2 linked regions of the Oryzias latipes genome follow. The protein of the gene in region 2 binds, or shares a complex with, the protein of the main gene of each other region. Links are inferred from orthologs where the notes say so. Each region holds a gene or a part of one and is shown on either strand. Other genes may lie near its edges.

Region 1 (3,752 bases), on a different chromosome or scaffold from region 2:
TAATAAACCTTACAATGCAGGTCATGTTACAGCTATGTCATTTTATAAGAGAGATCTGGTTTTTTCTTAAATTAAAATCAGATGAGAAGTTTAGAAATTAGACAAGGATTTGGTCATTTGAAGATTTTTGTTTTATAAAAATAAACTGATTTGTTAAAACAAAATTTATTCGTGAGAAAAACAATGGAACATCCCACGTAACAAAATAAAAGGTTTTTGTTGACTTGATTTAAAATATAATTTACATTTGGAGTCCATATTTCGTGCTCCAAATATGAATCACACAGAAGCAAGATTAATATTTCCATAGTTGTTACTCGAAATTTGAACTTCTGATTGTTTATGGAACTTACATAAATGCTGAATTGAATTCATGAAGGAGAAATTGTGAAAAATTTTCATTTATTCATTTATTCATTCATTCATTCGTTCGTTCATTCATTTGTTCATTCATTCATTCGTTCGTTCATTCATTCATTCGTTCATTCATTTGTTCATTCATTCATTCGTTCTTTCATTCATTCATTCATTCATTCATTCATTCGTTCGTTCATTCATTTGTTCATTCATTCATTCGTTCGTTCATTCATTCATTCATTTATTCATTCATTCATTCGTTAATTCATTCATTCATTCATTCATTCATTCATTCATTCATCTTCTTCCGTTTGCTCCCTTTCGGGGTCACGGGGCTGCCAGAACCTATCTCGGCCACTTGTGGGCGAAGGCAGGGGGCACCCTGGACAGGTCGCCAGTCTCTCGCAGGGTTGGAATAATTTTAATAATTTAAATTTGATTACAGCAACAACAACAAAAACTTACACTGATTTTATGAATGTTTATGACACAGTGGCCACTTATAATCCTTGTGGACAATGGGTTGATGTTAACCACAATGTAATTTGAGTAAAGGAAACCAACTAGAGTGACAAAAGACAGAAATCTAGTTCTCATCCCAGTAGAATAAAAAAAATCATCATGCAGAGGGGCGTTGATAAAAAAGGATCAACTCACTGCCAGGAGCTAACAGTTCATTTCACCTCCAGAACAGAGGGTGGCGCTGTTGCGCGGTAGAAGAGTTCAAAGCTTCCGCTGTTGCCGCTTTGCAGGAATCTGCACTGCAGACTTGACTGAGCGGACGGTAGGTGTTGAATGTAGTCGTTGATGTTAGAATGAAAATGTTTGCTTTTTTAATATTTATTTTGCATACGTACTTCGTGTCTTACTGGCGTTAGTTAGTTTAGCCTCAATGCGTCTGTCAACGTTTACACCGGTTGATGAATGAAGCTAACGTTAGCATACTAGCATTTTCGTTGTAGTTGTCTCAGTTGCAACTGATGATTCAATGTGGGATCAATTGGGGAAAAATATTGCATGGAGGATCACATTATTGCTTGATGATAGGAGCTGCACGTGGCTAGCTGAAGTATAAAAACGGTCAAACATTTCCCCCGTGACTTAGTAACGTTAGTGTTGTTATCGTTTCTCCCTGTGTGTGTGTCGGCGCACATATGTTTTTCTGTTTAGGGTTTCTTTTACGACACGCACGCAGGCAGCGGTTTACTGTAGCTTCCTGAACAACACTGTATGTTTTGATGTGACGCCTGCCAGTGATTCTGCGGTTGTTCAGAGCCACCTCTGTGTTTTACAGGCAACACTAAGGGACCAGGGCACACCTGAAGCTCGCAGGTAAAGCCCACGCGGAGCTGGAAGCTCGCCACTATGGCGGACATCAAGAATTTCCTGTACGCCTGGTGTGGAAAGAAAAAGCTGACTCCCAACTACGAAATCCGGGCGGCGGGCAACAAAAACCGGCAGAAGTTCATGTGTGAGGTCGGTCTGCATTCACAGCCAGCTGGTTTGTAACCAGACTCTCCCGTAACGTCTCTGTTTGCTCCTGAAGGTGCGGGTGGATGGCTTCACCTATGTGGGGATGGGAAACTCCACCAGCAAGAAGGATGCTCAGACCAACGCCGCCAGGGACTTTGTCAACTATCTGGTCCGAGTCGGGGAGATGAAGGCTGAAGAGGTTCCAGCTCTGGGGGTCAGAAAGCTTTTTTTTACGCTTTTTTAAAGGAGATGTAAAAACAAAGCAAACCAGAGGAACATCTTTCCAATCAATAGAGCATCCAGCTATGTTCAGGCCAGAACAGAAAACCATTTAGAAAGTCAAGATCCATAAAGACTGGGAGACTGCAAGGATTAGTCAAAAGTTTACCAGTGGGCAGCGAACACTTAACCGGAACTGACGGCCTTTTGTTGTTCTACCCAGGCCGTGGCTCCAGAACCCAACCAGCCCGAAGGACCTCCGGGAAGCTTCGGAACCCTCCCAGCCAGCGGGCCGCTGCCCCCCCACCTGGTGGTGAAGGTGGAGAAAGGTTTGAGCCGAACACACCTAACCTGCTGCTCCCTGACTTCAGTCCTCTTCATCCTGTGGTTTCTGTTTTCAGAGGCTGATGCCTTCATCAATGCACCTCCAGGACAGACTGAACAAGGGTTCCCTCCTAGAGGTGGCAATGGGGGAGGAGGAGGAGGGGCTGAGTGGGACAGAGGAGCCAACCTGAAGGAGTACTACGCCCGGAGGGATGAGCAGGAGGCTCAAGCGGTACTGGAGCCAGCTATGTGCCATGAAGCTGCTTTTCAAGAAGATCCCGGTCCTTTTGAGCTGTGTTGTCACATGTTGCAGTCACATGACTGTGACAACATTAGGCGGCTTCATAACAGGTGGGACTGCTCTGCCTTAGTACCGGTCCCACTAATGCGGCTCTCCTGTTGTAGACGCTGGAATCCGAGGAGGTAGACCTGAATGCAAACTTGCACGGAAACTGGACCCTGGAGAACGCCAAGGCCCGTCTCAACCGGTTCTTCCAGCAGGAGAAGATCACCTCCGAGTACACGTACAGCCAAGTGGGACCCGATCACAACAGGTCTGGATCAGCGCTCCCCTACAAGCCGTCTGACCAGATCCAGCCTGACGAGCCCAGGTCTCTCGTCAGTCTGGATCTGGTCTTTTCTGCTGTTCAGATCTGTCAGGTGGGGGTGGGAGAGTGGGGTATTGACAAATGAACTCTAATTAAAAAGCTGCAGCTTCTCGGGTTGGTAAATGTTTCCTCTGAAAGGGGCCACACTCCTGGGCCCGCCGCTCACTGGTAGCACCTGTGTGTTTTTCTGCCGGACTGCTGCAAACCCAGAGAGCTCCTGCGTGTGCCGGCTACACCGGAGAGCCCTCACAGCCACATGCTCAACTCAAAGCCTGCAGAGCGACACTAGAACTCACGACCACGCTGAGGAAATACATGGGGATGGCGTTTAGGTTCTCTAAAGCCCCCCCATGGGTGCAGCTCCGTGGTCTCTGGTCGTGATTTGTGGTGTTGCTCTTCATTGTAGGCTTTAAAACCTGAAAGTCTGGCAGAAAAACGCCCAGGTTTCTTTCTGAGGACACATCAGGTGAGTCTGCTCCTGAGGGATGCTTGGCTTTAGGCTTTTACTTTGAAAGGCACGGGATGTAACTCTGCCATGTTATTTGTCTGCAGGAGCTTCATAGCAGAGATGCAGCTGTTCGTGAGGAAGCTCGGCAGAAGTAAGTTTTGACATGTCTGTACATGAGACCACAGAGACGGTTCTGTGCTGAGATTCTTTACGCTTATTTTAGCAGAGCCAGTAAATAGAAATTGGTGCTTTCCTTAACAAATAGAAAACCTTTTCTCTTGTGTTTTAAGTATCAGAAAGCTTGTATTTTTTAGCATTTTGAA
Region 2 (3,500 bases):
TCTCTTTGAGAAAGCTGGATCTATTTGGGACCTCAGGCTCATGATGGACCCCCTAAGCAGCCTTAACAGGGGTTATGCTTTTGTTACATTCTGCGCTAAAGAAGCAGCACAAGAGGCGGTCAAACTGGTGAGTTCATGGAGTTATTTTCAGACAAAAACTTTCATTTTCAAATTAAAATGGGCCGAACGGCCTGTTCCTGACCGTCATCCTGAAATGCCTTTTTACAGTGTAATAACTACGAGATCCGCCCCGGAAAGCACATCGGTGCGTGTATATCTGTCGCCAACAACAGGCTGTTCGTTGGCTCTATTCCCAAAAGTAAAACAAAGGAGCAGATTGTTGAAGAGTTTTCAAAAGTCACAGGTACGACCGGGGTTCCTGTCGGTACTTGAAGAACTTTCCTTAAATATAAATCTTGTGATTTATTTTGTTCTGAATCTTCTTTGTGTCCAGACGGCCTGAACGATGTGATCCTGTACCATCAGCCCGACGACAAAAAGAAGAACAGAGGCTTTTGTTTCCTGGAGTTTGAAGACCATAAAACAGCCGCTCAGGCACGGCGCAGGCTAATGAGTGGGAAGGTCAAGGTCTGGGGCATCCTGGTCACAGTGGAATGGGCTGATCCCATCGAGGATCCCGACCCAGAGGTCATGGCCAAGGTGAGCATCACCCTTTGAAAACCTGATGCTGAACTGAGAAACCCAATGCATGGAAACGCCTGCAGGCCTGTTCCTTTGCCCCCTTGGGGAAGGATGGGTTTGTTTGAATGTTATCTGGCCAAAGCGGTACTCTTCAAAAAGTGTTACTGCATGACAGAGTACTTAAAATGCTTAATGTCCTTATTTTTAACAGTCTGCAGTGCACCTCTGTTTTCACACACACAAGGAAACATATTTTACCTCTCATCGCCACGGCAACAGACTTTTTTCAGAGCAGTGCACATTATCCGTCGGGTAACTGTATTAGGATCTTCTGCTGTGAAGTACAGACAAAGCTGCGCTCGCTAGAGTAAAGCTCCACCCCCACAGCCTCACGCCTTCTCATAGGAGCCGCCCACAATCACTGGAAAGGCAATATTATTGGCTAGAGTTCAGTAAGACTGGAGAGTGATACGTGATATGAACGAAGCCCAGAAATCTGTTTTTAATGGTTCTGGTAATGCGGCACACGTTGGTACAAGGATGTCCTGACAGAAGGAAGCTGCACAGGTCTGATGGGAAAAGCGTTTCTCTATCTGTGTTGCAGGTGAAGGTTTTATTTGTGAGGAATCTCGCCAACAGCGTTACGGAGGAGATTCTTGAGAAGTCTTTCAGTGCGTTTGGAAAGCTGGAGCGAGTGAAGAAGCTGAAGGACTATGCCTTCATTCACTTTGAGGAGCGGGAAGGTGCAGTGAAGGTACACACTTTCATTCAGAACCAGAGCATTCTTTCTAAAAAACAACACAAAAGAATGGACCTAAAACTGACCAAACCTTCATTTAGGCCTTGGATGAAATGAACGGGAAAGAACTGGAGGGAGAGCCAATCGAGATCGTCTTTGCCAAACCGCCGGATCAGAAAAGAAAAGAACGCAAGGCTCAAAGGCAGGCAGCCAAAACACAAATGTATGAGCTGTTAAATCAGCAGGAAAGCCTTCCTCCTCCACAAATACTGACTTTATGCTTCTGATTTTTTTTCCTTTCTGTCAGATATGATGATTACTACTATTACCCTCCTGCTCCCCACGCGCCCCCTGCAAGAGGCCGGGGCCGAGGAGGCAACCGGGGTGGATACGGCTACCCCTCCGACTACTACAGCTATGATGACTACTATGACTACTACGGCTATGACTATCACAACTACCGCGGCGGCTACGAAGACCCCTATTACGGCTACGAAGACTTCCAGTCCCCGAGCCGAGGGCGCGGCAGCAGCAGGGGCGCCCGTGGCGGAACTTCACCGGCTCGAGGACGCGGCAGCGCCGGCGCGCCGAGGGGCAGGCCCAGCTTCCCCCCGCATGGAGGGCCTGGACCGAGCCGCGGAGGGCGGGGAGCGAGAGGAGGCGTGCAGCCGAGAGGGCGAGGAGGGGTACGTGGTGTTCGGGGTGGCCGCGGTGGAAATGTAGGAGGAAAGCGCAAAGCTGATGGGTACAACCAGCCAGATTCCAAGCGTCGCCAGACCAATAATCAGAACTGGGGCTCTCAACCCATTGCTCAGCAACCCCTCCAAGGTGGTGATCATGCTGGTAACTATTTTGGTTACAAATCTGACAACCAGGAGTTTTATCAGGATTCTTTTGGGCAACAGTGGAAGTAAACCAGTAAGGCTTTCATAAAAGGAAAGAATTTATCCTTTCTGCCTTGTTTTTTCTCATTTAGAGACTTGATCTAATTGGCCCTCTATTCCATTTTGTTGCCAGCTTTATTTTTTTGTTTTTTCCACTCAAAAGTTAGTGACACCTGGCAGGATATCTTTATGTATATATTTTATCGATCCGCTTGGACTCGATCTAGTCACTCTCACCTGCTTCTGGCAAACTGCATTTTTTTCCTTTGTTGTTTTTGTTTTTTTAAGGTGGTCGTAAAAGATTCTTCAAATCCAACTTTTCCAACATTTTTAGATGCGAAATGTGCTGAAGCTGTCTATTTGGCTGTAGCTTAATGTATGTTTTATAGAAATTCTGATTTTAATGTTTTAACTAGTTAAAATAAAAAAGCTACCAAGCTTCTGTCTCCTAAAAATGTATTTAATAAGAGTGAAATTACAATTTGTATTGTAAAAGTAATGCGTGTCTTGTTATTGAAAAGAAAAAAAAAAAAGGACAACCGTAGTCCTCATTTTTGGGCTTTACATTTTGGCTTGTATTCTTTGCTGTTTGTCTGCTTTAATAAACATACACGCACACGTGTACAAAAACTTCAAATTGTGTCGCAAATTCATGTTTCGGCAAATTCTCTTTTCAAATTTTCTTCAAATTTAAGGCTCCATGTGGAAGAAGGTGGACTGAAGGTTTGCCATTGTTGGCCATATGCTACAGTGTCACCTTGCATGCCATCCAGTTCCAAGTCACCTTCTGTAGTCGGCATCTCAGAGCTCTGTCTGTGTAGTGGCGTACCTCATGTCCCAAAACATCTCACTAATTGGTGTCCCAAATTCACTGTCAACGCAGCGACGTCAGAACGGCCTGGGGGGGGGGGGGGGGGGGGGCACAAAAGCACAATTGGATTGTAGCCTCAGACTGAAGCTTTTCCTGGTCCCAGAAGGAACTTTGCTGTTCACAGCGTGGAAACTAAACCTGCATGTTTATCTCCAGGTTTGGCGCCGGACTTGTGTTGGGAAGCAGCGCTTTGCATGCCTCCTCCCTGTAGATCTGATTTATGCCCTCATTCCTGCTTCACCCGTGTCTCTGCCATCTCAGCCTTTCCCCGCTGCTCCCTTAAAGTTTCCCGGCCAGAAGCGGCTAGTTTGTCAGGCGCCGGCGTGCATGTTTACTCTGCTTCTGTCACGCCGGAGCTCCCCCC

What was found.
Region 1: heterogeneous nuclear ribonucleoprotein Q (region 2) and dhx9 share a complex: the UniProt entries of both Homo sapiens proteins name them as parts of the coding region determinant (CRD)-mediated complex. The link is inferred for Oryzias latipes from reciprocal best matches to the Homo sapiens genes SYNCRIP and DHX9.

What each region holds. Positions count from the first base shown.
Region 1 is NC_019875.2:12,671,923-12,675,674, reverse strand, and holds the start of dhx9 (ATP-dependent RNA helicase A), read left to right. Parts: upstream 1-1,043; 5' UTR 1,044-1,141; intron 1,142-1,651; 5' UTR 1,652-1,722; coding exon 1,723-1,833; intron 1,834-1,903; coding exon 1,904-2,044; intron 2,045-2,272; coding exon 2,273-2,378; intron 2,379-2,450; coding exon 2,451-2,605; intron 2,606-2,778; coding exon 2,779-2,927; intron 2,928-3,387; exon of another isoform or gene 3,388-3,447; intron 3,448-3,533; coding exon 3,534-3,580; intron 3,581-3,752. UniProt on the Homo sapiens protein: Multifunctional ATP-dependent nucleic acid helicase that unwinds DNA and RNA in a 3' to 5' direction and that plays important roles in many processes, such as DNA replication, transcriptional activation, post-transcriptional RNA regulation, mRNA translation and RNA-mediated gene silencing.
Region 2 is NC_019882.2:1,562,419-1,565,918, reverse strand, and holds part of heterogeneous nuclear ribonucleoprotein Q, read left to right. Parts: coding exon 1-127; intron 128-228; coding exon 229-364; intron 365-454; coding exon 455-660; intron 661-1,246; coding exon 1,247-1,396; intron 1,397-1,482; coding exon 1,483-1,604; intron 1,605-1,688; coding exon 1,689-2,295; 3' UTR 2,296-3,500. UniProt on the Homo sapiens protein: Heterogenous nuclear ribonucleoprotein (hnRNP) implicated in mRNA processing mechanisms. Component of the CRD-mediated complex that promotes MYC mRNA stability.